Linked DNA regions of Xenopus tropicalis. The protein of the gene in region 1 purifies or fractionates together with the protein of each later gene. This does not show direct contact. Links are inferred from orthologs where the notes say so. Each region holds a gene or a part of one and is shown in the gene's direction. Other genes may lie near its edges. The genes, in order: exosc1, exosc10 and dis3l.

Evidence for each region.
Region 2: the proteins of exosc1 (region 1) and exosc10 purify together in Homo sapiens (co-immunoprecipitation; 8 studies listed by BioGRID and IntAct, counting the BioPlex papers as one, with this or other methods). This does not show direct contact. The link is inferred for Xenopus tropicalis from reciprocal best matches to the Homo sapiens genes EXOSC1 and EXOSC10.
Region 3: the proteins of exosc1 (region 1) and dis3l purify together in Homo sapiens (affinity purification with mass spectrometry; 4 studies listed by BioGRID and IntAct, counting the BioPlex papers as one, with this or other methods). This does not show direct contact. The link is inferred for Xenopus tropicalis from reciprocal best matches to the Homo sapiens genes EXOSC1 and DIS3L.

What each region holds. Positions count from the first base shown.
Region 1 is NC_030683.2:32,982,447-32,993,455, forward strand, and holds exosc1 (exosome complex component CSL4), read left to right. Parts: upstream 1-4,090; 5' UTR 4,091-4,107; coding exon 4,108-4,135; intron 4,136-4,675; coding exon 4,676-4,791; intron 4,792-5,160; coding exon 5,161-5,235; intron 5,236-5,880; coding exon 5,881-5,969; intron 5,970-6,602; coding exon 6,603-6,636; intron 6,637-7,084; coding exon 7,085-7,135; intron 7,136-7,803; coding exon 7,804-7,888; intron 7,889-8,128; coding exon 8,129-8,235; coding exon of another isoform or gene 8,236-8,308; 3' UTR 8,309-8,737; downstream 8,738-11,009. UniProt on the Homo sapiens protein: Non-catalytic component of the RNA exosome complex which has 3'->5' exoribonuclease activity and participates in a multitude of cellular RNA processing and degradation events.
Region 2 is NC_030683.2:64,882,599-64,892,998, reverse strand, and holds part of exosc10 (exosome component 10), read left to right. Parts: intron 1-3,410; coding exon 3,411-3,515; intron 3,516-3,964; coding exon 3,965-4,130; intron 4,131-4,928; coding exon 4,929-5,037; intron 5,038-6,635; coding exon 6,636-6,711; intron 6,712-6,800; coding exon 6,801-6,911; intron 6,912-7,010; coding exon 7,011-7,154; intron 7,155-7,237; coding exon 7,238-7,428; intron 7,429-7,514; coding exon 7,515-7,671; intron 7,672-7,745; coding exon 7,746-7,894; intron 7,895-8,003; coding exon 8,004-8,054; intron 8,055-8,264; coding exon 8,265-8,376; intron 8,377-10,400. UniProt on the Homo sapiens protein: Catalytic component of the RNA exosome complex which has 3'->5' exoribonuclease activity and participates in a multitude of cellular RNA processing and degradation events.
Region 3 is NC_030679.2:117,107,061-117,117,998, forward strand, and holds the start of dis3l (DIS3-like exonuclease 1), read left to right. Parts: upstream 1-4,357; 5' UTR 4,358-4,626; intron 4,627-6,093; 5' UTR 6,094-6,203; coding exon 6,204-6,247; intron 6,248-9,074; coding exon 9,075-9,203; intron 9,204-9,715; coding exon 9,716-9,851; intron 9,852-10,393; coding exon 10,394-10,570; intron 10,571-10,657; coding exon 10,658-10,736; intron 10,737-10,938. UniProt on the Homo sapiens protein: Catalytic component of the RNA exosome complex which has 3'->5' exoribonuclease activity and participates in a multitude of cellular RNA processing and degradation events.

The sequences.
Region 1 (11,009 bases):
ACTCAGATCACTGGTTTGAGGATCAAGCGTACGCCCTATGAACCAATGTATTTGGGTCCAAAATATTGTCCGTTCTGGCTAATGTGCAAACTGTTTGTTGTAATTTGTCCATAAAATGAAACTGTTATAATGAGATTAATCTGCTGAAATCAATGGTTGCTGACCACATTTAGGTTGCTCCTAGTATGGTAAATACTATATAGTAAATATATGTATGTATATAAAATAAATATATATATATATATATATATATATATATATAATATATATATATATATATATATATAAATTATGCTATACTAGTAAATGCAACTCATCAGAGAGCACTGGTCCTTTCTGTGTCCCACCCCTACTGGCCTTTCTAGATGGCATCAGTGGTCTCTGCCCATTCAGTGCTACCATGTTTACTGTAGCTGTGTTTTCCTGATAGAGGTACCTTTTTCAGGATCATTACAATAAAGGAGTGATGTGCAATGAAACATTGTGTTGTTGTGGTTTATTTTTTATAACAGTAGTTGAGTCTATGAAGTAACCAACTGCTATAATATAGGTAAATATATATCTAATATTGGCTAATAGAGTTCATAGGATCTGCTCAGTACAAACAGTGTTTATTACTGCTCACACTGCTGTGCCTCTTTCTTTTAACTGGTATGTGGGCAAAACAATGGCCCTTAAGCTATGCCTCTGTAGCAGCCAGAAGGACCTGTACTGTACATAAATCTCATAATGCACTACATTAGTTAGCTCTTATGCCATCCAAATATTTCACATAGAATGTCAGTTTGGCGTGGTGGCCAGCGATGCCTTCTTCCCCATGGATGGACTATTCTGTTCTTTAAGGAGGTATTGCAGAGAAGGTAGGTGGGCACTGCCAAAAATACATTAAAGCTGATCCCAGCTGCAGAGAACAGAACCTTGGGCCTGGCACAGATGCTTGTGGGGAATGTGATCGGAGTTGTCCTAGGCAAAGTCGAGCCATATTTTCAATTTGAGATTTTCAAATTCTTTTTTTTTTTTTGTAATTGCACAAATTCTAGAGATTGAAGTTTTTTCATTTCCTTATTAATAAATAAGCATACATTAAAAATGTTAGTTTATTTGAATTAGAAAAACAATTTTGAATTCTCAAACTGATAAATAAGCCTATTAGTGTGAGCTCTTGCATTCATGTGAAGCTCAAATAAGCTCATTTCTATCACAGTCTGGAAGGCACTGACACATAATGAATCATCTGTATACAGTTGTATTACCATTCCGTCCTAGGCCCTGAACTTCTCATTTATTTATTCATGGGAGAGACACTGATGGAAGGAAATGTCAACAATATGTAAAGAAATCAGTTAATTCTAGGTATAGTGAAACATCTTGAATCACTGGATGTGTAATCTTCAGGACAAGGCTTTACATTTTCTTGTCATGCTTTTGGCACTAATAATGCTCACATAATACAACTGGGAATACTGCAGGTACCCCAGCATATGTGCTGTTGTTTCACCCTATGTGATATTTAGTAGCATTAATCTACTCTACTTTTTAAAAACAGCCAAGCTGAAAGTATTGAAATTATCCTCAAATAAAGCCAGCACCTATCCTAAAATGGGAAAGCGATCTTAACACAACGTTTACAACAGCCCATTGGCTTCAAGTGGCTAACGCAGCTTACAAATATTTCAAATTTACTAACCACATAGAGAACCAAAGAAAAATTCTATTCAGAGGGTACAAAACACCCTCAATCAGATATATCCAAACACCTCGTCCACCTGCTGGAGGTGCAACAAAACAACAGGAACACTAATCCACATGTGGTGGGAATGCCCAGCACTTGCCCCCTTCTGTGCAGATGTCTCACTACTATTGTATGAAACAACAAATATACTAATCCCACTAACTGCCTCACTAGCACTACTTAACCATCGACTACAAAATATACCTCCAAACCTAAGGAAACTTACCTACCCCATTATCATTTTGGCCAGGCTATTAATACCACGACAATGGAAAACCATACCAACTAAGGAAAAACTGATCAACCTCACAGACTCTAACCTTACGTACGAAAAACACGCAACAGAGAAATACTTTCCCACCAAGCATGGAAAACCAAATTTCTCAAAAACTAACAGCAGCCACATAAAGCTAGAAAATGCACCCGGCAGTCAACCAACAAACACCTAACTCCACCACCACAGGATAACGTCAGGAAAAGATTCACCCAGGTTTAGTAGCGAATGATCTTGGACTATATACCCCCACTCCACCATGATCTCTCCGATACTTACCTCTCTCCTGTCTCTTATTGTCTCCCTTTCTTTCCTTTTCCTCTTTTTTGTATGAAAATCTCAAGTTGAAAAAAAAATCCTCAAATAACACTCGGGAGAGTTTCTGTTGTAACAATAGATGCCGAAGCATATACAGCATACAAATAAAATAGGGCAGGCGTGTTTTGTAGCTAAAAATAAAAAAATAGGTTCTTGTCAAAAACAGACCTCATTTCCTAACACTGCCGAAGCCAAAAAAGGTGACTTCTTCAACCTCTAGGTGCAAACTATGGTAATTCTTGCACAATTTGCACTTGTGACATTCTGGAAAGGAAGTAAAGGTATGTGTGTGTGCTATAGTTTTTGTTCATAAAATACATTAAATGAACAGTGCAAAGGAGAGTGTAAAGTACAGGGGCTTCCTTGCACCTCTATGGCTTACTCACAATAATAAAGGCCAATACCGTGCCTGCCCTTCCTGCTGGAGACTGCCACTGTTTATTAAACAATAGTATCCTTATACCCTTTTCTGTCAAGCATTTTCCTTAGTTCCAGAAGAGTTGGTATATGTTAATAAACTTTTTTAATTCTTAGCAAAAAGTTGATCCAGGGATTGTTGGAGTAATTACTTCACTCCCTTTAAGGCTTATGGGAGATGCCTTCTGATATCTGTATTGCTCCAGATTAACTAGATATTAGTGGTGTTTCTCTTAGAGAAAACGTTGAACTTGAAGGGTGTGTCCTTTTTCAACCACATCTACTATGTAAAGGTCTCAATTACAATTTCTAGGCACTAACAAAAGATGCTGTTAAATGCTATATGCAATGTGTACTTGTGCCTGCCTATGCCCATGCTGTATGCTTATTTTCCAGTGGCACCTGCTTTAGTGCATAAGGGGCAGTACAGCACTGTATCTGCGCTGGCCACACAGTAACTGCACAACCCCCTTGCCACTAGTTTATTAGACCCTATGAATGGTACACAATTAAAAAGCATTTTACTGTATGCCCAGGTGACAACTGTGTTGGAAACTAGTGAATTGTGTCAATTTTAAATAAGTATATTAGGGCTAGGAATTATTCATCTTGGCAGTGTTGTTAGTTACTGGCCTAGTTACTGACAGAAGATAAAAGTTCAATTATAAAGCAAGGTGTATATACACACATGTATATATATATATATATCTCAAATATTCAAATATTTTCTTCTTACAGTAGGTGTACGAGGCAAGAGCTTATTGCTGTCTGTGTGCCTCCTGTCCCTGAGAATAATTACACCATTTTGTAAGTTCTGATTATCCCCTATAGGTTACGAGGTCAAAAAGGGAGAAACGTACATCCCAAGAATAGCGTCTTATTCCGTAACCCCCTCGTCCGGTATTCTTTCTGCGTTATTAAGGAAAATATATATACCTATCGATTTTCGATGGAAGCACCACTGTACAGAAGCCTCACGCTGAGAGAGCCTGCCTCGCTATGGTTTCCATGCAACGTCATAGTGAAGAGAACGTTTTCTAATAACTATTACAGTCACAGGAAAAGCAGTGTAAATGACATTCTGTTGCTATAGGAACACATATCTGGCCAGGTTGTGATATGTAAAACCATATTTTTTTAGAAATGAAAATCGATTTCTAGAACACAGACTAATACTAACATAACACTGTTTTTTTAAGATAAAGTAAAGGCTGCCAGAACTCCAGCCTCAAATTGTACAATTGCTACGTGGTACGTCATCACGCTGCGACGGCTGAAGAGCCAATGGCAGGATATGTTACGTCACTAACCGGGATGTACCCAATCGGAGCCTTCATTGCCCAGTATTGGTTATCACGTGTTTATCATGGCTCCTGTAAGGTGCTGTGTGCCGGGTGAGTGAAGCAGGGCACAGTGTTTAGTTAGTGTCGGTGCCTGGTAAGGAAGGACTGGGTTGGGTAGGAGTGCTGTGGGTTAGTGACTGAGATGTAATAACAGTAGGGATGCCGTAAAAAGAAATTGTGGAAACATTTCTCCTGCTCGTGTTGTAGTAAATGTATGTATATCTTTATTTATAAAGCGCTACTTATGTACGCAGCGCTGTACAGTAGAATAGATTAATACAAACAGGGGGTTAATAAGATAATAGATGAATACAAAGTATAACAATAAATACAAATAAATACAAGATACAGTTACAGTTGCAATAAGTTAAGAGTCAAAGACACAAGAGGATGGAGGTCCCTGCCCCGTAGAGCTTACAATCTATATATATATATAATTTCAGCTCTCCTGTCAGGCTTCATTCTGGGAATTCTGAGTTCAAGTTCTAATCTCTGAAGTAATATATTATTTTTACTTTTAAAAGTTGGTTGTTTTTTATATACCCTGTGCAGAGTTGTATTATTGTGTTATCTTTCTTTTAACCTCTGCAGGTGAAAGGCTGTGCAGCACTGAAGACTGTGCCCCTGGATATGGAACTTTCTGCAGACATGGCTATATTTTTGCCTCCCTGGCAGGTTACATAGTGAAGAAAACTGACAATGGCTTGGTAAGTAGTTTTCTGTAGTAGGTTGTTATTATACATAGCTGAGATACGATACACGAGTGGTAACATTTATGTTTTCGGGAGGATTTTAGGGCAGTCATTTGTTTCCCAACTATACAAAGCAGTCACTGGGAGTTTGCAGCCAGCTCAGTCTTACATTGTTGAATATGTGCCAGCAGGCAGTTGGGTCTTGCCACCTAGACAATACTATTGATCCCACCCATACATGCAGCCCTGAAGTAATGTTGAAGCTCATCTTTAAACTATTTCTGAAAGTACAATAATTTGCTGCTCCTGTGCAGACTGTCCCCAGTATAATATAGTTTTTATTTAAAATTTTTATTTCCTTACCTGCACTTTTTTGGTTTCTAGATGCCAGTTATTTCTGTGGTAAGAGAGACTGATTCACATCTTCTGCCAGATGTTGGCTCTGTTGTCACTTGTAAGGTAAGAATGTATTTTGCACACCAAAGTAGAATTCTGTAGTGGTGTTGTGTTATAACAGGTGGTAAAATGTATCTTTTTTTTTTTTTTTTGGGGGGGGGGGGGGGGGGGCTGGGTTTAGGGCAGTCATTTGTTTCTCAGCTATACAAAGCAGTTAGTAGGAGTAGAAGCCAACATTGATCCCACCCATGTATATAGTTTTTATGATCAGGCAAAAATCCTCTTTTTGGTGACCTTTCAGCATAAAAGCTGGCTTAGGTACAAGAGGACTGGTAAGGAGCTGTGTAAAGGGCTCAATGACATTAACATGTCCCAGCCAAATGATGGGTTATTGTGAGATACGAGGTACTTACAAGCTTAAAAGGAGCACTTTGGAAGGAGATGATAATGATTGTGGGAAAACTAAGAGAGTGCCATCTGTACATCAGCTTTTATAGATTGTAATATTCACTTTAAATGAACCAATACTTTGAGGCAATCTGTAACTGGTATTTATTTTTTTAAGCTCCACTATGTTTTATAACACAGTATTTGTCAATTTGAAATGTGAACTTTTTTTCATTTACTTTTTAATTTTTCATTCTTATAATAAACTTCATTTATTATTATGGAGTTTCTAATTTAGTCTTTATTTCCATTCATAATTAGGTAACAAGCATTAACTCCAGGTTTGCAAAGGTCCAAATTATGTATATTGGTTCAACTCCACTGAGTAACACATTTCGAGGCACAATCAGGTAAAGGATTTACTCTGAGGCTAGACCCTTCTTATTTAAAGTAAACCTTCTGCAGTATAGAGGGAGCCCATGTACTGGCATTTCTGGGTGTTGAAGATGTGTTCTGACATTTGCTCAAAAAAAATCGCATAACCCCTTTTGCAATTTAATTTTTATGCCATAAAGCAAGATTGGGCTTGTGTATTGCAGAAGATTAGTAAAAGTCACGAGAACCAGGAGATGGATTCCTTTATACATGCAGCTGAAAATGCGGGCTGGGGATTTGAGGACACTGACCCCAGCAGCAAAACAAAATATTTACTGCAGGGCTTGACAGTTATGGATAGTGGTTATATTTCTTTTCAGGGCCCGCTGTTCTTCATCTTTCATGTAAAGATTGCGCATTGGTTTTTAGGATAATTAACCCCTGGCAGTGAGAATTTAAATTCCAACCCTCAGAGCAGCAGAACAAAAAATTTAAGAATAAATTAAAAATCCAAAAAAAGCTATTGAATCTGTTTGCCTGTGTATGAATTGCTTAAAAGTACATTTTAAGGTGTTACACAGTGTTTTTAGAAATTATATGATTAAGAGCCAGAGCTGGGCATCTAACATTATTGCCTTATGTATAAATAGTTGCTTTTTGGCTTCTAGGAAAGAAGACATTCGTGCTACAGAAAAAGACAAGGTAACTGGACCCGCTTGTTTGTTTTTGTGAGTAAAAAAAAAAAATGTTAGGCACCCTCTCCGAGATTGTAATCACTTACTGCATACCCCAGATTGTGCTCCTGTTAGCAAAAAACTACACTGGCCCAGAGAACAGTTTGCTGGTTCTTCCTTCTTCACGGTGGATATGCATGCACAGCAGTGTGAAAAATGCCAGCTTTTCCTCTCTACTGCGCACGCCCCAACTTGGGGCCACTGAAGAATGAAGATGATTGGGATGCGGTGCTCTCACAGAAAGTACCCCAGACTGATCACTGGGGGTGCCTAAATATTAAGCACCCCTCTTTCCTTCTCCCTTAATCCCAAATGCTCTTATTCCAAATAGGTGTAATATTTCAGCGATTTAAAGAAAATATCACAAATCAAAGGTGCATGGCCTTCTATATTTTTAATATATTCTGTCTTTAAAGGTTGAAGTCTATAAAAGCTTCCGTCCAGGAGATATCGTAATGGCCAAAGTGGTATCCTTTTAGCTGTTCAAATCAATTAAACATATATTGCCTGTAATTAGTATTTACCAGGTATTCACATATTATCTTCTTCGCAAACATAATAAATATACTATTTGATTTATTCTTAACTTTTACATCTGTTCATGCCATTATTATCATTATGATTTGTCTTTTGAAATTCTGCTGCACTATATTCCCAAAACTACCCAAACACCTGCCTCTCTTCAAAAAAAATCACTAGTTTCGAGAACATTATTGGTGGGATTTGCTTCCATTGAGCCACAAGAGCATTAGCAAGGTTGGGCACTGATGTTGGGGATTGGATCTGGCTTGCAGTCCAGTTTGTCCCACAGTTGTTCTGTCTGGTTGAGGTCAGGACTCGGTGCAGCCCATTCAAGTTCTTCCTCTCCTATCTCGGCAAACCCATTCTGCAGGGACCTAACTTTGTGCATAGGGCTGTTATTGTTCCATAATCCCACCCAACAATGTTCCAGCTTCTATTGAAAAGCCTTTCAGAAAGAGTAGCCGAGTTATAGCAGGTGCCCGGATACTTTTGGCCATATAGTGTATATTGTTCAGAGGTGTAGTTTACCAATTGGTGTTGCCTGCAGTATATTTTGAGTATTGAATTGATTTCTTTTTTTAAAAAAGTTTTATCTCCTGATCTTTTGCATAAGATATCTTTGGGTGACATCCAGTCTAATTATCTATTAAGCACAGCAGAGAATGAGCTGGGTGTTGTAGTTGCTCATAGTGAAGCAGGTAAGTATGTTGTGTTGATGTTGTTGATGATCACTGAAAGGGTGACCATCAGTTTCCTCTTACTGTGCCCTTCAGCACTTTCTTTTTTTGGGCCTTGAATGGCAGTATGTTCCAGGGATCTCCAAACTTTGGCACACTCTCACTATATCTGTTCCTCCATAATGACTACTCAGATGTGTGTGGATATGTTATGAACACACTATTTGCATACTAATCAGCATCTGCTTGTTTTTGTCCCAGGAGCTACTATGGTGCCAATCAGCTGGTGTGAGATGCAGTGTCCAAAGACGCACATTAAAGAACAGAGGAAAGTTGCACGGGTGCAGCCAGAGTTTCTGCAGACATAGAGAACAACATGTGGCACAGGCATTTAAGCTCCTTGTAGTTGTATCTAACCACTCGGTAGCCAGGCAGTTCTGAATTATCTTAATTTGTATTATGGCAAACAATGATTTTATATTTGTTTGTGCTTGCAACCTTGAGTGCCTTGTTGCCTCCATAATTTTGGTGGTTAAAATTAAGACAAGCCAACAAAAATGTAACTCGGTTCCCTTCATTTAGGCTAATGCCTCTCCACTGACAATAAAGTAAATCGCCGATGGAAAGGCATACATGTAGCTTCAGTTTTCTGAAGTCATTGCTACTGTCATTTTACGGAGATTAGTTGCCTGCGGTAGTTGATATTTAACTGTGGGCGACTAATCCCCTCATGGGCATCAGTCTTTTTAACAGTATTTCTTTGCTCCAAAAGTTTAATTGATCAGATATGTGTTTTTTTTTCTCTTAAAATAGTTTTATTTGTATTTTGTACATTTTCCTCTATGAGAATAAAATGTATTTTTTTTGTCATTTATTCACAGAACCACTATTTTGGTCAGTGAGATTGTAACGGTATATCTTGTGAAGCTCTTGTAGTAAGAGTAAAAGAGACAGAATGCATGTGAACAATGTATTAGGGAATGTATTTTGCTGGCTCCAAAAATACCAGGGATCCCCACACTTTTTTTTTTCACTTATGAGCCGCATTCAGATGCCCAGCTTCCCAGAGTTGTGGCAAGACTCCTCCAGTTCTAGGTTTGGACAGAGGATAAACAGGATGCCTGAGTTTGTGCAGTTGCAAGAAGTAACGATTAGAGTTTCGCCAAAAATCTCTCTTGTACGTTTGCCAACACTCCCTGGTCAGTTTCCTTGTCAGACTAGATTGTAATGCTGCAGTACATCTTAGACTTACTTTCCAAAGGGACAGCAGTGCATGTGCTGCAAGGAGAAGAAGGTGAAGGGTTTTTCTTTTTCTAATAAGAAAGTTATTGGGCGAGATGAGACCTATATTAGACCTTGCAGCTGTACATACAAAGCTTCAAAACAGAAACAATCCAAATTGTTAAAGCAGCCATATGACCCAGGGACTGCCTGTGTACCATTTACCTGAAGGATGTGTATTTGAATGTACCGTTAGCCCAAGGACATCAACAATTCCTCAGGTTTGCTATAGGTCACCAGCATCTGCAATTTACATGCCTACCTTTCGGGTTATCCACGTCCCCCAGGACATTCATGAAGGTGGTTAGTAGTTGTTATTGCAATGCTCAGAGAAATGGGTGTAGAAAAATATCAGTATCTAGATGACCTTTTGCTACTTGCCAGAAGCAGGGAAGTTCTGGAGGAACACAAAAACCAAGTGGCGGCTACTCTGCAATGGATAGATTCTCAACTAGGGTCTGTGGCATCCAGATTCATCAGGATTGAGGCTGAGAGGGGAAGGTTAGCACAGCTAGGTTGTTCTGAGGCTGTTATAACTACTCTGTTGAGATCTAGAAAGTCATCTCAGAGATAGTATGCGGTGTTCAACATATTTAGAGACTGGGCTTCCAAAAATGAGATAGATGCCTGGAACCGACAATCCTAGGTATGCCTGAATTTCTGCAGGAAGGCTTGGATAAAGGCCTTAGTTTGAGCACATAGCTAGTACAGTTGTTGATGTTGTCAGCCATGCTAGAGAAGAGGTTAATTTAAGAGCCTTTAAAGGAGAAGGAAAGGCAAAGTCACTTGGGGGTGCCAAAATGTTAGGCACCCCCAAGTGACTTTAATCGCATACTTTTTACCCCGGGCTGGTGCCCCTGTTCAGAGAAAACAGCACCAGCCCAGGGTAGCTGCAGCGCTTCCTGCTTTGCGCGCATGCGCAGTAGAGTGAATAGTGGAACTTTAACAGAGAAGTCGGCTTTTAACTCTACTGTGCATGCGCCTATTGTGTTAGTCTTAGCGAAACAAAGGCGGAAGGAGGAAGCGCATTGCTCCAGGTACCCCGGGCTGGTGCTGTTTTCTCCTAACGGGCACCAGCCCGGGGTACGAGGTAAGCGATTAAAGTCACTTGGGGGTGCTTAACATTTTAGCACCCCCAAGTGACTTAGCCTTTAAGGTTGTCATCACAGTGGAGCAAGGAAAGGAGAACCAACTAAAAGAGCGACTTTAAGAAGAAGGGTTGTCTTGGGAATCCAGAAAGCTTACAAAGAGCAGGGGGAGCCGGTGCCTCAGAAAATCAGGGCCCATTCGACAAGGGGTATTACATCATCCTGGGCAGCGGAAGCTCAGCCTGAGCGCAGCTACATGGGAAACCTCTAATACTTTCATTTGTCATTACGTTAGATTTAAGTTAGCTCTCTTTCTTTATCAGTTTGGGTATTCAGTGCTGAAGGCAGTGTCTTGGCAGAAATACATTTATTTTGATGTTAGCAAACAAGTTTTTGTTTGTTCCCACCCAGTTAGATTGCTTGGGTACGAACCCAAATGTTGCCAGGGGATGGCCAGGAAAAGAAGAAATTAATTTATACTTACCAAAATTTTGTCTCATACTTACCAAGATTTCCTGGCCATCCCTCCTGGCAACATGCCCAGCATTTATGGTCTGCCCAGAACATCAGATAAAGTCTGGAGAGAACAGGAAGGGGTGGGTATTGCATTGCTATGGTAACCTGTGTCCAGACAGCACAAGCTGGGCAAGTCAAAATGTTACGGAGCCAGGGGGGATGGCCAGGAAATTAAAATCTTAGTAGGTATGAATTAGTCTTTTTAAAAAAAAATGGATACTTAATGCTGTAAGATGCTATAAGACACTATTTATTGG
Region 2 (10,400 bases), about 32 Mb from region 1:
TTACTTGCTAATAAGTCATACATGTTTCTGTTTTAAAGGAGAAAAAGTAATTTTGGCATTTTACTGCCAATAGATTCACCACATTTAGTGCCACCTAGAACAATATATTTATTCTGCAGAAAGCATTACCATACCGGAGTAAAGCACCTTAGAAACTTTCTCTGTTTGTTTAAGATAGCAGCTGCTATTTTAAGTAGCTTCATGTTTGCAGTATAGCTGTTGGTAGCTCAGATCACACATTCCTAAGGGTGGGGAGAGTGAGTTCTATGAATTCTTATGGAAGGGGGGAGCAGGAAAGAGGAGAGAACTGGGAAGACTCTTGCCCCTGGAATTAAGGGTTTTTCTGAAAGAGGAAGTCAGATACCAAACAACATGTTGGTTTTTTTTAAAAAGAAATCCTGTGGGTTTTTTTTTTTTGTTTGTTTTTTTTTTCCATAGAGGTCTTAGTGCAGTGTTTCTGTGAGTGCTTATGGCTGTATTTACGTAGACCTTTCTGATAAAGCTTACTTAGTTTTTTTCCTTTTCCTTTATATGCTTGAGAAAAAAAAATGAAGCTTTCAAAAAAAGTCTGTTAATTTATACATATTTATATCAATTCAATAAACATAGTGCCCATTAGGTAGTGGTGCAGATGGTGGCGCCAGCCTCAGCTGTGAATTATAGTTACATAGGGTTGAAAAAAGACCATCAAAGTTCAACCCTTCCAAGTAAACCCAGCACACACAACCTATACTTACCAATCTATACTATCACATACATAAACTATGTATGCAACCATTAATACTAACTGTACATATTAGTATCACAATAGCCTTGGATACTGTGCTTGTTCAAACACTCAAGAACTCATCCAAGCCCCTCTTGAAGGCATTAACAGACTCTGCCATTACCACATCACATTATGACGTTGTGAATAGAATACATGGAAAGCATAGGCTAATCTGAAACAGAGGACTATGGGTGGGGGTGGCTATGGAAGCCCCTTATTTAGTGCAGAGCTGGCAGACTATTTACATTGGTACTGTTAATTGGAAACTCATTAACCAGCAATTCACAAACTTTGTCACGTTCTCCAGGCAAAAAATTGCTCATAAAAATAACTACTTGGATAAAGGGTGGGGTGGCAGGACATACCAAGACCTGCACATTCTGTCATTTCCCAGAATTCGTGACAGGCACAGCACCACCCTCAACAATTCTCAACAGGCATAGCCTACCCCGCTGCGCGGATTCCAGTATTTCATGACAGATGCAGCCTCCAGAGCATCATGACATGCACTGTACTATTATCTTCTGTTTTCTTTATCCTGCTTCATACTTTTTCAAGTTTATATTTTTATTTCCCCCTTTCACCTGTTCCAATTTTTTTGTTTTTTTAATTAAAGAGATGTGCAGGAGACATTACATTTGCAGGCAGATTCCTCTATCAGCTTCTGATCGCTTTGCTCTTACAGTTTGCTTGCACATGTGGCACCCAGCGCAGCCCAATAGGGAACACTTGTCACTTTTGCGTCACTTCCGTCCACACATGTATGATTTTACAGGGAGAACCTTCAATATAGGGTTACTGCATATGTGTGCAGTAACCCCCAACCTTGAGTGTGGGCACTTAAAATATTAGCATTAAAATATAAGGATGGATATATAGGTATAGATGTATATACAGTGGTGTGAAAAACTATTTGCCCCCTTTCTGATTTCTTATTCTTTTGCATGTTTGTCACACTTAAATGTTTCTGCTCATCAAAAACCGTTAACTATTAGTCAAAGATAACATAATTGAACACAAAATGCAGTTTTTAAATGAAGGTTCACGTTATTAAGGGAGAAAAAAAACTCCAAATCTACATGGCCCTATGTGAAAAAGTAATTGCCCCCTTGTTAAAAAATAACTTAACTGTGGTTTATCAATTTCAATTTCAATATCAATTTCTGTAGTCACCCCCAGGCCTGATTACTGCCACACCTGTTTCAATCAAGAAATCACTTAAATAGGAGCTACCTGACACAGAGAAGTAGACCAAAAGCACCTCAAAAGCTAGACATCATGCCAAGATCCAAAGAAATTCAGGAACAAATGAGAACAAAAGTAATTGAGATCTATCAGTCTGGTAAAGGTTATAAAGCCATTTCTAAAGCTTTGGGACTCCAGCAAACCACAGTGAGAGCCATTATCCACAAATGGCAAAAACATGGAACAGTGGTAAACCTTCCCAGGAGTGGCCGGCCGACCAAAATTACCCCAAGAGCGCAGAGACAACTCATCCGAGAGGCCACAAAAGACCCCAGGACAACATCTAAAGAACTGCAGGCCTCACTTGCCTCAATTAAGGTCAGTGTTCACGACTCCACCATAAGAAAGAGACTGGGCAAAAACGGCCTGCATGGCAGATTTCCAAGGCGCAAACCACTTTTAAGCAAAAAGAACATTATGGCTCGTCTCAATTTTGCTAAAAAACATCTCAATGATTGCCAAGACTTTTGGGAAAATACCTTGTGGACCGACGAGACAAAAGTTGAACTTTTTGGAAGGTGCGTGTCCCGTTACATCTGGCGTAAAAGTAACACAGCATTTCAGAAAAAGAACATCATACCAACAGTAAAATATGGTGGTGGTAGTGTGATGGTCTGGGGTTGTTTTGCTGCTTCAGGACCTGGAAGGCTTGCTGTGATAGATGGAACCATGAATTCTACTGTCTACCAAAAAATCCTGAAGGAGAATGTCCGGCCATCTGTTCGTCAACTCAAGCTGAAGCGATCTTGGGTGCTGCAGCAGGACAATGACCCAAAACACACCAGCAAATCCACCTCTGAATGGCTGAAGAAAAACAAAATGAAGACTTTGGAGTGGCCTAGTCAAAGTCCTGACCTGAATCCTATTGAGATGTTGTGGCATGACCTTAAAAAGGCGGTTCATGCTAGAAAACCCTCAAATAAAGCTGAATTACAACAATTCTGCAAAGATGAGTGGGCCAAAATTCCTCCAGAGCACTGTAAAGGACTCGTTGCAAGTTATCGCAAACGCTTGATTGCAGTTATTGCTGCTAAGGGTGGCCCAACCAGTTATTAGGTTCAGGGGGCAATTACTTTTTCACACAGGGCCATGTAGGTTTGGATTTTTTTTCTCCCTAAATAATAAAAACCCTCATTTAAAAACTGCATTTTGTGTTTACTTGTGTTATCTTTGACTAATAGTTAAATGTGTTTGATGATCAGAAACATTTTGTGTGACAAACATGCAAAAGAATAAGAAATCAGGAAGGGGGCAAATAGTTTTTCACACCACTGTAAGTATGGTGGCCTTTAAAGTAACATAGTTCATAGAGTGAGGTGCACCAAAACTTTTGTTATTGCTGAGGTATATTTAAAACATAATTTTGGCCTAAATAAACATATTACATATTTTTAAGGGCATTTTACTTGATGAAGCATCTGGACTGAATCGGAATCAGCAACCCATCCTCCCTGCTGGCCTTCAGCCTCCAAAGACAATTGTTTCCAGCTGGAATAGGAAGGTAAGAAGTTGATATTCTTAAAATGTGCTTTGTTTTAACCATACAGATGAATATACAGAGATATAGACCTGACAGCAACCTTTAATACTTGTTTGACAAAAAGTTGAAAGGACCTTCATCCTTGTACTAAATAAAAGCATATTGGATTTGATAAGTAGGTACATTGTTTGATTTTTTTATAAATATCCCATGGAGCCCAAACCTCATTGCGGTAGTCTTCAAGCCATGTTGGTGTTTCTGCAGGAGTTTTCTGCCACACTCCAGAAACATGCAGGCAGGTTTATTAGACTTCTGGTAAAATTGTCCCTACTGTGTGTGAATGTGACAGAGTTCTTCGACTGTATGCTCCACAGGAACTGACCTCTGTGTTGGTCAGTGCTGCAGATTGTTGCCAGAAAATAAATAACCCAACTTGTATTATGTGTGTTATATATTTATTTATTTTGCAGACTAGTGATTTAAGCAAAAAAGGAAAATCTGAAACTTTTCGACTGCTTCATGCTAAGAACATTTTGCGCCCCCAACTTAAGTTTAAAGAAAAGATAGACAATTCCAACACTCCTTTTGTTTCAAAACTCTTTGTGAAGCCCAATGCACAAAAGCCTCTTCCAGAAGGTGAGTTATGGCCCCTATTGCTACTGTTGAGAGTATTTTGATCTTTCATGAATCTAAAATTAATTTTTACATAAATGAGCCCTAATAATAATAAACTAGCTTTTATTAGCAAATATATGTCGAACTGAAACCTTTTCACAACTTGATCTGCATTTACATTTGCAATTTCTTACAGATTTAATCTCCTCTTCCATACCTTCATAGTTCTCCTTCTTCCCATCCTTACATTTTAAGCCTTCAGATACACACCAAACTGACCACTTCATTCTTATAAATACATACACACCTATTGGACTTCATCAAAGCAATTCCCTACCTGTGGAGTTCATTACAAAACATAAAAAGTCCAATACCCAGTAGAGTTACAAATATTTCCTTAATAAGTACCTCTGTTGTGAAGTTTACACTCTAACCTATTAGCCTGTAATAACTCACACACATCATATTATCCTTTTATCTCATTACTAACAGTGATAATATTTCCCCAACATAAACTGCCCAATTTGACTACATATTTTATACCTTGTGTGTCACTTATTTTATGACCTTGTGGGCAGGGCCCATATTACCTACTGTTATCCGTTTGTCTGTCAGTTTTGTATCCTTATGTACATTGCTGCAGAATATGTTAGCATTAAAAGACCCAATTATTTAAAAGCGCTATTTAAGTTGTGTAACTTTTTTCATTTAAAGTTTTACCAATGTATTTAGAGTCTCCCACATTTGGATATACTTTAATTATATTTCTGATTGTTCTCATCTGGAAGCTTAATGAAAAAATTCCATCTAACTTATCAGTTCTCAGGAATAGACTAGAAAGGCAGCAGAGACAAGAGGATCTGGATGTTCCTCCTGCTTTGGCAGATTTTATTCATCAGCAAAGAATGAAGATAAGCGAAGAGGATATGTAAGTATAATGCAGGGTTTTTTGTGTCTGTCTAAAAATGTTTCTAGCAATAGTTGGCAAAAAGTGCCTAATAAACTATCTACAGCAGAATCCCCCTTTTTACAGTTTTCAGGGAACAAGGAAAAAAATAATGTAAAATCCAGGAAAAAATATCAGGGAAATGCATTATGGCTTATATGTTAGTTTGGCTACAAAAAATATTTAAAAATATTTAAAAATATTTAAAATGCAGGAAAACTTAATATGTGTATGTAAATTTGAGGCTTCACTGTATAACTTATAGAGCTATTTTTATTATGACATTTATTATGGGGTATTTGTGCGTAAATGTCAAGGCAAGTGGGTTCTGATGTGTTGGGCAGCCCTACTGCATATAATCAATTGCCTTTGGCCGCAGGCCAGTGCTCCTGTTTGCTGAAAAGTGCAACGGCCAAGGTACTATCCTTTGCAAATGCGCCGCCTTCTCTGCAGATTTTGCTGCTATTCTCTTTGATATTCGAGACAGCTTGCATGCACAGTAGAGTAAAAATCCTAACTTTAAAATTTAAGTTTTGAATTTTACTTTACTGCACATGCACGCAATAGTAATTTTGTAGGTTATTTTATATCACACAACCTAAAATGTAGCAAACTGTTCTGGTGAACAGAAAATACTGTTTGCTACGTGCTGTCCAAGTTTTCCATGTAGTGGGAAGAGCCAACACAGCACATTATGGGGGGCCAGATTATATGCTAAAAATTTTACAAGTAGATGTTTGTTGATACTGTAAGTGGCCTGAGGTCTAGTGGTTCCAGAAGGGCTAAATTTACAGATAATACTCAGCAACCAACTCAGGTACACAAAGACTACTGAGCAATGTTCCCTCTAAGCTGTGTGCTTGTGCACACACACATTTAGTCCTGTGCACACAGCAAATTTTGGTGCCCACAAAGAAATTTTGTGTGAAAACACCAAATTTTGTATCTATTCCGACCTGAGCACACCATTTTTTAAAATGCCCACACAAGTTTAAAATGTGCTCACATAGTCCAGAAGAATTAGTGGGAACATTTGTGCTAAGATTATTCCTGTTTAAAATTGCCATCTTGAGTTTCAACTGCTTGACCCAGGCATTTGTAAATACTGGGGTCATCTCTGATCTCTTTTTGCTAACAGCTATGCAGCATACTTACCAAATAAATCATTTTAGAGTCCCCTGTAAGGGAAGACACTGGTAAGTCTGGTAATGGTTTTCTTTGTTGCTATCTATGAAGCAATTAAGTGTAGCCTGTATTCAGTTACAGTGCACAATAACAAAGTGGAGACAGTATCTGAGATTTGCAAATGGGATGCTTTATTAAATGTCCATGAGAATACTCACGTGTATAAAACACTTCCCAACATATTCAGCCTTATCTGAAGAAACAAATTTAGAAAAGGGTTGAATAAGTCCTCAAAGTTTGGTGTTCTTTTTTTTTAATAAAGTTTGGAGCATCCCACTTGCAAAACTGTGGTACTGTCTCCATTTCCTGGCTGTATATGCTGACAAGGAAAAGGCCAGGGAGTGTACCTTCCATTGTGTTTTAGTTACTACATTACCATGCTTTCCTTTTTAAAGGTTCTGTCATCCCTATCAGTATGAATTGGATCACTTTGTACCCTTGGAATCGTCAATGGAGAAGCCAGATATTCAGGTGAGACCACAAAAAGGGCAGCCTTTTAATTTGTGTAAGTAATGAGGAATTTGATTTTAATAATTCTAAAAGATCTGTTTTGTCAACAGCCCGTCCTCTCCCTGCAAGATGTCCCATGTAAGTTTGTGATGAAGCTGGAAGACTTAGTGGCACTGAACGAGAAACTGCTACAGTGTGCAGAGTTTGCAGTGGATTTAGAAGTAAGTGATTTGTTTTTTTTTTAGGGATGTTTATGTAGCAAGCTGTGTGCAGAACTTTTTTTTTTTTTATATAAATAACCAATCTTTCTTTCTTGAAAGCATCATTCCTACAGAAGCTTCCTAGGTCTTACATGCTTGATGCAGATTAGCACTCGGACGGAGGATTATATTATTGATGTGCTGGAATTAAGGAGCAACATGTACATTTTAAATGAGAGCTTCACAAATCCCTCTATTATCAAGGTCTGTAAAATGTTATTTTCCCTTTACACCTCAGGGACCCGATTAATGGTGCCTTATTATTCCTTGTTGCAATTTTGTTTTAGGTGCTTCATGGAGCTGATTCAGATATAGAGTGGCTTCAGAAGGATTTTGGCTTATACATAGTAAACATGTTTGACACTCATCAAGCAGCACGTATTCTTAATCTTGGTCGACACTCACTTGATCACCTCCTCAGGTTGTATTGCAATGTGGAGTCAGACAAGCGATATCAGCTTGCTGATTGGAGAATTCGGTGAGTTCCAGCATAAATAATTTACAAACTTTAAACCAATAAAGTATTACCTGTACATAAATTGAAACATTTGTATACAATTTCAGCCCCTTACCTGAAGAAATGATTGAGTATGCTAGAGCAGATACACACTATTTGCTTTTCATATATGACAAAATGCGAACAGCTCTACTAGGTGCAGCCAACAAGCAGCAGAACCTTCTCCAATTGGTATGGCAGAAAAGCAGGGACATTTGTCTGAAGGTAAGACTTTTTCCTAAATGTAACTTTACAAATGCATATATAGAGAATATCCTGACACAGTGTATTTCCTACAGAAATTCACAAAGTCAATCTTTACAGAGGATTCATATCTAGAGCTATACCAAAAGCAAAAGAAACACCTTAACACGCAGCAGTTGACTGCCTTCAGGCTCCTTTTTGCATGGAGAGATAAAATAGCTCGACAGGAAGATGAGAGCACAGGGTAAGGAGATATATGTGTTTATATGATGTCTGTGTCAAGGCTGTTGAATTATACTAAAACATGTCTTTTTAAGTGTTTAACAATAATACATTTATTTTTAATATTGCAGTTATGTGTTACCAAATCACATGTTGCTGAAGATAACTGAGGAACTGCCCAAGTGAGTGCATCATTGATTTTCTTAAAGTATCTTTAATATTCAACAGTTTTAATTCTAAAGCTACAACATTTTAAACTTCAGAAAATTGTATTGCCAAATAGCCCTTTTTTTTTTTTTCTTTTTGTGCTATACTGACCAACACCAACAATATACACCCTATGAATGTTTTTTTTTTTTTTTTTTTAAGAATTTTTGTATGTTCTATTTTAGGGAGCCACAAGGAATCATTGCTTGCTGCAGTCCAGTGCCTCCACTTGTGCGACAACAAATCAATGAATTATCTCTTCTTATTCATCAGGCGCGTGAGACCCCGCTTCTAAAGGTATGTTATTAAATTAAGCAACTGCGCGTCATGCTCAAACCATCTACTGTTTTAAAGGTGTCTACACTGATTTTGTGTCTTATTGGGAGACCAGGTAACACCAATCGAACATGCCTCATTGGAAACCAGACTATTGTAAGCTTGATATTATGGACAACTATGTGAACCTATTCAAGAATCTCGCCAAACTGGAATATATATATATATATATATATATGTGCTTGAGAGAGGGTCAGCACTCACAGGACTTATACAAACAAATTATTTTATTAAAGAGGAGACTAACGTTTCGGCTAGCACTCTAGCCTTTTTCAAAAGGCTAGAGTGCTAGCCGAAACGTTAGTCTCCTCTTTAATAAAATAATTTGTTTGTATAAGTCCTGTGAGTGCTGACCCTCTCTCAAGCACCTTCAACATTATTTGGACCTGCACCCAGGCAACAGCAACTTATCTATACGTGAGTGCCGGCATTTACTTGGAAGTTTATATATATGGGCTGTGTGTTCCCTCTGAGATCACATGACCAGAAATAATGTAGCTTTAACTGTAACAGGTGGAAGTGTGGAATAAAAGGGCAGATTCTGTCCATTAATTGGCTAATGTGACCTAGCATGTATGTGTGTCCATTAATTGGCTAATGTGACCTAGCATGTTTGTGTGAATCCTATGATCCCAGGAGGTGGCCCCTTCATTCTTAAAATGGCAATTTTCTATTTAGGAATACCCAACAGCACATACTGCTAAAGTATATTTTTATGAAAATGGTTTATTTAGATGAAGCTGTGTGTAAGCTTGTTAAAACAATATATTTTATAGAGACCTACATTGTTTGGGGGTATAGTTTTCCTTTAGCAGATACATGGCTGAAACAGATTTATATTAAAAAGTCATTGCTCTGTTGCTATTCATTTATTGGGGCATGAAAAAGCACATAACAGTGAGTGATGTTTGCACAATGAGCATGTAGAACTTCAGGAAGAGGTTAGTTATAAGCCTGGCTACAGGTATTTAAGGTACGCCATGCCAGTACAGCCAGATTCAGCAATGGCAGCCCCCTCATAGAAGAACATGGGGGATCAGGTAATGGAAAAATATTAGGCTACTACTTTTATGGCAAAATTATAAATAGCATGCGAAGAAAATGTTATTTTTCATAAATGATCAGTTTTCTGGAAGGATGGGAGTGGCCTATTTAGAACCTGACACACGGAGATCTTCCTGTATGCTTACATCACATCATCACGTCCAGGCTTCGCCCTTACTTTTTTCCTATTGGACCAATTCAGTGGGTGCTTGTGCACTCCAGTTGCATAAATTGAAAGGTAATCGGTTTCTCCCTTGCAGTGGCATAGGCAAACTGACTCAACATATCACAAATCTAACATACTGTTACAGGAAGCAATGTCAGACTGACTGGAGCCAAGGCCAATAGGAGTTAAGTCTTTATAGGAATCACAATCCCATTAATACATAAAATCTAGAAGCCAGAGGTTCCAAATAGAAGCATAGTAAAGATGCACCTACCCTGTATCCACCCCTCAGATGTGCTGTGCCTATTGTGGCTATTTATTATTCAGTGTTCTACATGTATGCAAGGAAAAATGTGGTTCCATCCACACCAAACTCAGTGACTGTATCTCAGTGAGAGAACCTGATAAAGGGTCAGGCATAAAATCTATGTAACACTAATATGAATAAATTTTGGGGTGTTCTGGTTTCCTCCCAGACTCCCATCCTGACCACTTTGGGAATGTGACAAAATATATTTAAAAAATAATACACTGGGACAGAGACTTATGTAAAAATGATGTATAATCTCTTTAAAGGAGAAGGAAAGTCATTTTGTCAATTTAATGCCAATAGATTTGCCACATTAGTGCCACCTAGAACAATATATTTATTCTGCAGAAACCATTACCATACCTGAGTAAACAGCTTTAGAAGATTTCTCTGTTTGCTTAAGATAACAGCTGCCATTTTAAGTAGCTTCCTGCCTGCAGTCTAGCCGTTAGCTGATATCACACA
Region 3 (10,938 bases), on another chromosome or scaffold:
TTGCATTATTATTCAAAAGCCAGGGCCAGATTTGTGGGCAGGAAACAAAGGCCTGGGCCTAGGGCAGCAAAGATCTGGGGGTGGCACGCCCACTGGCCGCATCTGCACTGTGGACTGGACAGGAGATTTTGATGGCTGTTTAAATCTCCTACCCATTAAATCCCCAGCGCGGAGGTGGTGCGAGCGACAGGTGGGGTATGAGTGTCACGGAAATGTTCTTACCTCCTTATGGCAGTTGATAAGGACAGGACTCCTGAACCTCCTGATGCTGAGCTCTGCTCCTCAGAGAGCAGCTTACCCTTGGACACAAGTGCTTGCTATGTAAGTAGTAAGGGGCATGCTCGGCACCTCTTAGTACTCTAGCATTTGCTCCCAGCATTTTCATGCCTACGAACAGCCACCTTAACTAACCTACCTGTTCCTCTATTGCGGCACTCTGTCCAGGCCCATACTTGTGGCTGCTGTAAGGTGCCATAGACAGTCACTATTGTGCTGGTGGGGGGCTGTTTGGGCCTCTGTGTACTCGAAGTGCCAGGGCTTATTTTTATTTCTAGTCGAGGCTTGCCTCTGTCTACAATTTTCTGCATGTGTAGCACATGCTTAGCTGTTTTTTAATATATCATTGGTACCATTGGTACCGAAGGAGGAGCATCCATCACTGAAAGAAATGATTATTCATTTTTAGTTTGGGACTAAGTGCATTGGTAACATCACTGAAAGGATCACAGCCATTGGCTGCACCACAAAGTATTGTGGCCCAGTCAACAAGTGGTGCCAACGATCAACACTTGCCACAGGCCAACAAAGGCTTGGTGTTTCCTCATTGGAAAGTGGAAGTTGTTTCCCAATGAAAGTGACTGTTGTGTAAAGGACTTTAGTATTCCCATTATTTTGTATACGCTGTAAATTAGGGCTGTCCAACTGGAGGCCCGTGGGCCGTATATGCCCTTTCAAAAGACTTTTATGGCCCCCAGTCTGCTCAAGGACTAATCTGGCCCTTGAATATAGGATGTAATTGGCCTATGACATGTAAAAAGTTGGACAGCACTGCTCTAAAGAACTGATACAGAGTAGAGGCCTGGCTCACAACCATTTACAGTCTACCAATAAACTCCCATGTATGTGTATATGCTGTAACATTTGTAGTTTTTACTACCAACCACTCCCAGCCAACCCAAAAGAGCACCAGCATGGATTCCTTGTGATAATGTCTTCTCTTTGGTATGTCCATTAATCACTTGCTGCTTCTTGGTCGGTGGAAATTAAAGAAACAGTACAGATTTTGGCCACATTTGATTCATATTCTGATATACAATACTGAACAATTACTGCCTTAGGACACAGTCTATGGGTTACTATGGGGTAAACAACAAAAAACTTGCTGTTGGGTACTCTGCTTTCATAAAGAAAACAATTGTATTCGTTCACAAGCAAGTTTAGCCCTAAGACATTAAACCTGGATTCATTGGCTCGGTAAGCATTGTAGGCAGTAAACACAATCAGAATTCTTCTCTTCTAGCTAATGGAATAAAAAAATCCATACTCATCTATTACTGTATATAGTATAACATGTTCAGTGGCAGCACTTGCTCACTGGGAAGGCTATGATTACATTTTGCTGTGGTGCATTCTACAGGATCAGCACCTTTCTGTGGAAAACATAGTCACTCTTGTACAATTACAAATTGGTGCCCCCACCCCCCCAAGGACACGCTTATGGAGGACTGTACACAATGCTCTATTAGTTAAAACATCTTATTCCTTTGCCTTTTGTAATTGCCGGCTTTAATCCTACTCTTAGCATATTGTTACTAGTGATGAGCAGGCTGACCCAAAGCCCACGGGACCTACAAGTTTAACTGCAGGTCGGTGGGTTCGGGCCGACATCCACACAGCTTTCGCGGGTCACGGTCAGGTTCAGGCTGAACTATACCATGCGCCCATACTATGTCCCAATTTCGCCTTGCCACTTCACTATTTATAGATCTTCACCTGCATGTCCCATCCCTTTTCTGACATCAGAGAGGGGCGCATGAGGGGCTATAAATACTGTGACTTACTGGGTTAGGGCTGGGTGCAATAAATAAGGCATGGGGCTGGCCTGCCTGGAGGGGTACTTGGAACAATTAGAGTGAGAATTGGGGACATTGGCCATTTGCTCGCCTAGATACACCCAAATGACCAGCATGAAGCTCAGTTAGGGTGAGATTTGGGTATTTGCTATCCTAGATATTTTTGGAACTCTGGTATTTGGAATATCTGGTGATGTACCAATATTTTCCTATACCTGTAAACTTGTTTTTAGCCTAGATGGTCCTTAGATAAAGATTTTATATTCAAGGGGGTCACTGGCCAAAGGTTTGGTTCTTCAAGTGGGGCTTGAACTGGAAATAAAGTTTACCAGCCACTGAAGAAAGGCCTTTTATTTATAAAAACAAGCCCAAAACAAGGATTTTTTTTTTAACTTTTCTGAAGAAAAAATGCAATTTTATAATATACAGATCCCAACACAGTGTATACCTTATCTCATAGCCAAATATATTCCCCCTAACCCTCATTTGCACTTGTCATCTGCAGGTATTCATTCCTTAAAAGCCCATCACATATTTTTTCAATTCAGCATTGGTTACTGTTCCAGTAAATACTGGCCCAGATTAATACAATAGATCAGTTACATAAGTGTAGCTGTGTGGTCAAACTCATAACAAAGTGTTTTCTCATGAAAACTCCATTGTAGATCAGGGGTGAACCTGAATCTGAGTTATTGCATCAAACTAAACATGGTTCAATAAAGTAAATCAAACAGAAAATTGGCAGAACTGTAACAATCTCTGGCCTTGCAGAATTACAGATATCTTAACCCCCCACTAACTTTCTTTTGTATTCTGTGCATTATATTCTCCTTTTGACACTCACGCACCTAGCAGACATTTTGCATTGATTATAATCAGGTACAAAATCTGCAATATTTTGTACCTGTATCTGCAAACAGGCTTTATAACCCCACTATATTAAGGCAGAAAACAAGAGTGGTGAAGATGACCCATCCACCTGTCCCCAGTATTTCACTTCAGTGATTCTGAATCTTCCAGCACATTTCATTTTTAACTACAGGAAGAGGTGACGTGTTTTCCATCTGAGCCAGCAGCAATCTTAACACCTCATGTAGGTTCGGACTGGGGTGTGAGACATCCACCAGGGCAGCTACCCCAGGAGCCCCCACAATTCCTCAGGGTCCCCTGAGCACCCTCTCACTATCACCCTGCTCATCTATCGCCAGCCCCTTCCCCTGGCGAAGGCACCGGTGAGCAGCAGGTGGGGATTGGGTCTGGGTCGGCGGGGCCCACAGTGTCCCGCCGGCCCAGTCTGACCCTGATCCCATGTGCTATAACAAAACAAAAAATAAGGTACAAGTGTGCCGGAATTGGTGATTCTGGTGAAAAGAGAGCATCTTCAGTTGCAAAGAAGAATACTAATAAACTGTAAAGACAAATTAAAAAAATAAAAGAAATAGAATCGATTCATTTACAATATTTGAAATGTTAATTTAAAGATAACATCCCCTTATGTCTCTGAACAATAAGGTCCACTTCACACACCCTACAAGGAGCTTCCCTCAGGCTGTACCAAAATCTGGTTCCAGTACATACAGTCTGTGCATCAGAGGAGCAATTTAAATACACATAAATGATGGCAAGGTAAATACTGCCCCCTAGTGGCACCTTTTATTTTGATTAACAGGCACAGTTGATAAAGGAAGGCACAAGGGCTCATTACACCTGCAACTGCATTGGGCAAAGTGCAATCACCACTGTTTTCCCATTCTGCAGCATATTTCAGCGTTATTACGCACGCCATGGGACACTGCACCTAATGCAATTGTAGTGGAAGAGTCAAAATGAATGCAGTTGTGCTGGCACTATGTGGCAAATGAGATGTGCGCCTTTCTCCAGGGTAGGGTGGGGGCGGCCTGTTCTTTAGGAGCAAGTTCCATGTGCCCATTGCAGGGTGCCTGGGGAACCACATGGCCTAAAGGTGGTGATAGTTTTAGGGCTGCTCTGTGCCAATTCATAATAGGAGACAGGAAGGACAGTTGAGCCAAGCATACTATACTGAGTGCAAGGGGGCATTTTCATGCAAGTACCTTCAATAAATGGGGTTTTACAAACAATTCACTGTGGGCCCAAAACTGCGCTTGTGGTCGTCAATGACCCTCTAAAATATATTATGGTCATTTGTGGGATAACTCAGCAACAGGTCAAATCCCCCACAGTAAACACAGCCATACGAAATACACGAGCATGCGCAGAGCTTCTTAGTTAGAAGGCGTGGCTCGGGAGCGCAGCTAGAGGGCGTGGCTCGGGAAGCGCGGCTAGAGGGCGTGGCTAGGGATTGTTTGGGGGCGTATTTTCCCGCCTCCCGGCACCAAGCCATCAGCAGGCTGCATTAGCTGTCTCACCGCTGTTTTCCTTTGCGGATGGGTTGGTGTGTAGGCCGCAGTCATGCTGAAGACGGAGAAGATTTTGCACCTGAAAACGAGGGGCCGGTCTGTGAGAGCCGTGCGGGAGCATTACCTGCGGGAGGATGTGCGCTGCGGGAGTGCGCTGTGCCAGACGTGCCCCAGGGGTGAGATAGTCTATACACGCAAAGCTTGCTGGGACTTTCAGCTCTGCCCTTACTGCTCTCACTACTGCTGCTGTGTCTCTGGCAAAGCCTAGTTTAACCCACTTATTACATTATCCCAAACTTTATAAAACAGGAACATGTGCTTGGGATGTATTATTGTTATGGTAAAGAGAGTGGTGACATGTTCTGTGGCAAGGAATGGACTCTTGAATTAATGTGAGCCACCTACCTTGGAAAGGATATATAGTCAGCCAGGATAAGGGGCTTTTGCACCCATAGTAAAGGCGGCAGTCTGCACCCCCAACCCCTACAAATAGAGACAGGGATCTGCTCTGCTGGTGAGCTGATCAAATAGTGTCCTACTGTACAGCAAAGTTACAATTGCAAAACAAAAGAACATTTGCAAAATAAAAGGGAAAGTAAACCCTCAGAATTGGATCCTTTGCTGATCTTTTTCAGAGTTTCTACACTGGATCACCAAATCAAGAGAAAATATAGCTTAGTGCCACAGGCTACAAAAAGGAAATTACAACCAACAGAACCTAGCACAATATCGTTAGCCCTCAATACAAACACCAGGATGTTGTAACACAATTCAGTGTGTGTGGCCAGAACTATAGGAAGTCTATGCACAGATTTTTCTGTTTCTCCAAAAATAAAATGAAATAAAACAAGGTGCCGTAGTGCTTTATTCAGATATAAAACTCTGCATGCGGATTTCCCGCTCTATGGTTGGATTAGCAATTTACAAGTTTCCTGGTATCAAAACAGCATGTTGGTACCAAATTTTTAAATTAGGACAGCACCAATAGTGTAAGTTGCATACATCTCACTTCCGTGCGCACTGTCTGTAGCGTATAATGCAGATTGTGGAGGGCAACCTTTGCAGTACAAGGAGAAGGATTCTGGCCACGTCTTCCTCTCTTGTGCTTTCCACCTGCGCATCCATTCACCGCTGTTACCGGAAGTGACATCACACCTGATGCATTTTGCTAAGGACTCCTTTTTTAGAGGCAGATTTGATTATGTTTCCTGTGTTGCCATGGTTACTATTCAAATAGCAGGTTCACTGAATGTTCTTATAGCCCATCCCCTATAAAGTTCATTTGGGCACCAGGTTAGGCTACAGCCACATAGAGCTGATTTGCGGCCTGTAGATAAACGCAAGCAAAGGATCAGCCCCCTACAGCCTTTCCATGTGCCTGCATCTGTGCATAGACTTTCTATGGAGTGATAACTATATTGCACTAGGTTCTGTTATTTTCTTGTATTTTTCCCTTAGTCTGTTGTGCTGATCTATATTTTTTCTTGATTTAGTGTGCTGTTGTGCCTACTGCCAGGCCCGACTGTCAGTCTTTAGATTCTGGCAAATGCTGAAGGAGCAGCTGTAAGATGACAGAAGAGACAGGTCCTTGCCACAAACTATACGTGTATTTACATCACTGACATCACTGGTCCTTTTAACAGATGGAAAGCTTTTGTCTGAAGATCTGACTCACTATGTGGTCCCCGACTGTCAGATACTTCAAGATTACCTGGAAGTGTTGGAATTCCCAGAGTTGCGGGGCATTATCATCATGCAGACTGCATGCCAATCTGTCCAACATCAACGAGGACGAAGGTAAAATATTAATGTTTTAAAGAAGGTTTACAGGAAAATCAGTATGCTCTACACTAATTCCTAGCATTTGACTAGTACGTGTGAGCTGAAATTGATGAGAAGCCATCTTTAGAGTTTATACTTGTGCACTGACCATACTTTTTCATAAAATGCTTCACTGCTAGTTTACTCCCTTTCTGCAGAAAGCGTATAACATTTTCTGATAAAATGTATTTATTGTCAGTATAAATTAGATCAGAATCCAATAGACTACAAGAGACAGTGCCAGGCTGCACATGCTGAGAAATGGTGGCAGTACCCTGCCAGGCTTCACAACCCAAGAACTGATGGATGGGGGTATCCTGCCAATATACAGAGACTGAGGGATGATGGAGGGGCCGTTCTAATCTGCACTGCCAAGGGATGGTGGTGATGCACTGCAAGCCTCTATAGAGATTGTGGTGGTGCCCTGCCAGGCTGCACTGACTAACAGTTGGTTACCATGCTATGTCTTCATGCACAGGCCGAGAACACTGAGGGGGTAGCTGAAGTACTCTCCAGGCTGCAATGGCTGCGAAGAAGCAGCAGTGTCTTATAAAGTTGCAGTGACCAATGAGTTGGTGATAGAGCCCTGTCAGTCTGCACAGGTCAAGAGGTGGCAGTTGTGCAATGTCATGTTGCAGAGGCTTGTTAGTTAAGTTGCTCTGAAAAAGTATTAATTGAATCTGTGATGGATTCGAAAAAAGAGTAAATGTGTAAAAAAGTAAAAAAAAAAGGGTAATAATAAAAATAAGTAAGCAGAAATGTGATCTTTCCAAGCTGGGCCATTGTGCTCATCCTTCATTTGGTTGGCGCTGGAGCTCAGGGCAGTGATAGAACTGCAGATGAAGCAGGACAGTCCAGCTGCTTAACTGATAGCCTCTTCAAATCAATTAGAAGAAATCAATACTGAAATCAATTGGGAGCCTGAAATAAAGTAGATCTCTCAAATTTAATGTCAGCCCAGGAAAGCAGCCACCTCTGATTTTAATAATAAATGGTCTAGGGGGGTTAAAGTTTCAGTACTTCAGTAAAGATAGTCATGGACTGTAGGCACAGACATGTTCCTTGTAAATGCTGGAAAGTGCAACTAATCATCATTGCCTGGCAGATATCTCTGGCATCTCTAGACATGTGGCACATCTAGACCTGGACACTAGGAAACTCATGTGGATTGTCCCTGTCTAAGAACTGGCTTTCTATCATTACTAAAAACCTCACATGTAAAGCCATCTGTAGCCAGCGATTGTCTTTGCCAATTAATGTGGTCTGGCTAGTTGGCCACAAGGCATGCAATATCTAGCTGGCATTAGAAACATCGTCATGTGCTGCTCAGGCTCTATAAACCTAAAAGGGACATGTTACAGATAAGCTGTGATTGCTGTATATTGTACCATTGCGTGTGAAACATTGCTTATGTGCAATGGCACAATAAATAACGGCATGTTTGTAGAAGGCTGGGCCCCCTTATTTATAGAAACTGGTTGCATTTTGATGTGGCCTTACATCTGGGGGTTGCAGCACTGGACTAAGATAATTGGCACAAAAATGCTGGGAATGCTCCTGCCAAACTGTTTTCATTATGTGCTGCAAGGGAGCTAAGCAGAAGCGACTGAATAGGCTATACACATGGACAGTTTTGGGCCACAAACACAATACACACTTCTGGCTGTAAAATTTGCTGCATCTGCAAATTCTAATGTCAGGACAACTAGTGTCTCTGTGGCAATTGTGTCTTTCAGAAAAATGACCCTGCTGTTTTCCTAATAATTTTTATTCTTAAAGGGGAACTCCACCCAAACACAACTTAAGCTTTTTGAAAAGAAAAAATAATTTTAAGCAACTTAAGCAATATACATCAATGAATGCAGCCTTTTCATAACTTTTAAAATAATAATATGGATTGGAAAAGTTACCTAAGCCTCGCCCTGCTGTTCCCCTGATGATCTGGCTAACTACTTGGGGACTCAAATAAAATTGCAACAATAGTCAACTGTCCTCAGCCTGCATCCTCAAAACCCCACACATCCTGCAATGCATTGTGGGTTATACAATTCCTGCATGCTGCCTGTAAGGCAGGGGGCTCAAACTCAATTTACCTGGGGGCCGCAGGAGGCAAAGTCAGGATGAGGCTGGGCCGCATAAGGGATTTCACAAAAAATTGGCTTTCAAGGGATAATGCAAGGCACGGCGGGAGCTGCCGATTGTGGAAATGACGTTATGCCATCATAACAGTTATTATGGGAAGACGTTCTGTGTGCACAATTAGCTCCTTAGCAGCTAATTGTGCACACAGAATGTCTTCCCATAATAACTGTTATGATGGAATAACGTCATTTCCGCAATCAGCAGCTCCCACCCACCGTGCCTTGCATTATCCCTTGAATCGCAATCCATTCATTGCTTTTGAGAAGGCGTTGGTGCGGGCCACAAAATACTGTACCGAGGGCCGCAAATGGCCCGCGGGCCGCGAGTTTGAGACCCCTGCTGTAAGGTGTGGAGAAGTTGTTATACTTCAGACTGGATTTTATCTAAAGGCATGATAAATGTCCACTTTATCTATCCAACAAATGTGATTTGTGTAATGATTTTGTTAGGATGTGACTATCATGTAATGAGCATCCTGCTTAAGAAATAATGTTCTAGGAAACATTAACCATTAAGTGATTATTAAGCTGCAGAATGAATGGCCATGTAAGTAGTGGTTGGTTATTTTCCTTCCAGTTTTGTTTGTTTTTTCTTTCTAAGATCTTAATTTTATCTGGCCTATTGTTTTTGGCTAAGCTAGGTTTATTGTGCTGTGTTTCAGGCAATACAAGAGGTTGTGTTCTCTGCTCAGAGATACTCGTCATGACTGCATTTTGTTTTCCAATGAGTTCCAGAACCATGCCTATCTTCCTAGAGAAATGGGGGAATCTGCTTTGGCCTGGCAAACAAGGTACTTCAGTTTGTCTGTAACGCTGCCACCTTATAGAATCAAAGCCTGACCTAACTGCACCATTCTTAATGGGATGGTTGATGTTTGAATGTCCTTGCAATTGGTCTTCATGATTTATTCTTTGTAGTTTTTTAATTATTTGCCTTCCTCTTCCCCTCCAGCCCAAATGGGGGTCACTAACTCTAGCAGCCAAAAACGATTGCTCTGTGAGGCTACAATTGTATTGTTATTATAACCTTTTATAACTTATTATTCTATTTCAGATTATCTTCTATGCTTATTTCAATCTCTTATTCAAACCACTGTCTAGTTGCTAGGGAAAATAAGACCCTAGTAACCAGATAGCCACTGAAGTACTTAACTGGAGAGCTGCTGATCAAAAGACTAAATAACTGAAAAATCATAAAAAATAAAAGATGAAGACCAGTTACAAACTGTCTCAGAATATCACTATCTACATCATACTAAAAGTTAATTTAAAGGTGAACAACCTCTTTAATGCTATTACTTAGGTGCATCTACAATTCTTGTGTATGGTACTATCAACACTGTCAGAAGAAAATCCCTGTTGTGATGGTCACAGAAGATAAGTCTGTCATAAGGCAGTACAACACCGAGACCCAAGAGGTGTACGTGGTCTCATTCCAGGTCAGTGTGAGGGATTTTGTATTAATCCAAAAGGCAGGAAGAAGTGCTAAGGGACAAACTGAGAACATGTTTGCTATCAAAATAAAAATTCTAACAGCTTTCCCCGCAAATTTGTCTCTCTTTAAATAATATATAAAAACATTTTATATAAAATAATAATAGTCGGGTATATGTCACAAGGAATAGAAAAATCATCCCAAGCTAAAGAATTGCGCTTGGATAAATAATGCATTTTATAGTACAATATTATATACAACAGTGCTGTCTAACTGAAGGCCTGGAAGCCAAGTACAGTCCTCCAAAAGGTTTTGTTTTGTTTTTTTTAAAAAAAAAGCTCTATAGATTTCTTTGTATGACATTTATTATTTAAATATTTGATATCAAATATGCGGGCCACTTATATGGACAGCAATATTTAACAATATGATTTTGATTCATCAATTTATGGATATGAAAAAAAAAAAAAGGAACATTTGTAGGAATACGGGAGAGTTAGCATGATAAAGTGCTGCAGGGTAAGTGCTTTAATGCATTTTATACAGATTTACCTGGAGACTTTCTGGCCCAATTTAAAAGGAGCCCTGGAGCTGTATAAATCTCTAAAAGAAACCCATCGAGAGCGCGAGCTAGAGAGCCGGGAGGGTAACGGCAAAGAATACCCGGAGCACCTGCCACTGGAAATTCTCGAGGCTGGAATTAAATCTGGCAGATACCAACAGGTGGGTGTTCTCCAATAATACTACAGGCCATGTGGGAACATATAGGCTGCAATGGAACTCATATCTACCACTTTCTGCCTTCTCCAGGGTGTTCTCAGTGTAAACAAGCACAGAGCTCAGTTGGAAGGTTTTGTACGACTTCAGGGCTTAGGAGGAAAAGAAACAGGTATTACAGGCACCTTTTAAGGCTTATAGCTCTGTTAACTCAGTAATGTTCTGTTACAGTTTGCTTTGTGAAAGGCATTTCTCCTATGAGACTCAAAAAATTTTGAGACAGCCAGGGAAACCATTTGTATATGAGATCATTCAGACTATGTAAAACTGACATATATATATATTTTTTTTTTTATACACAAACATCAACGATT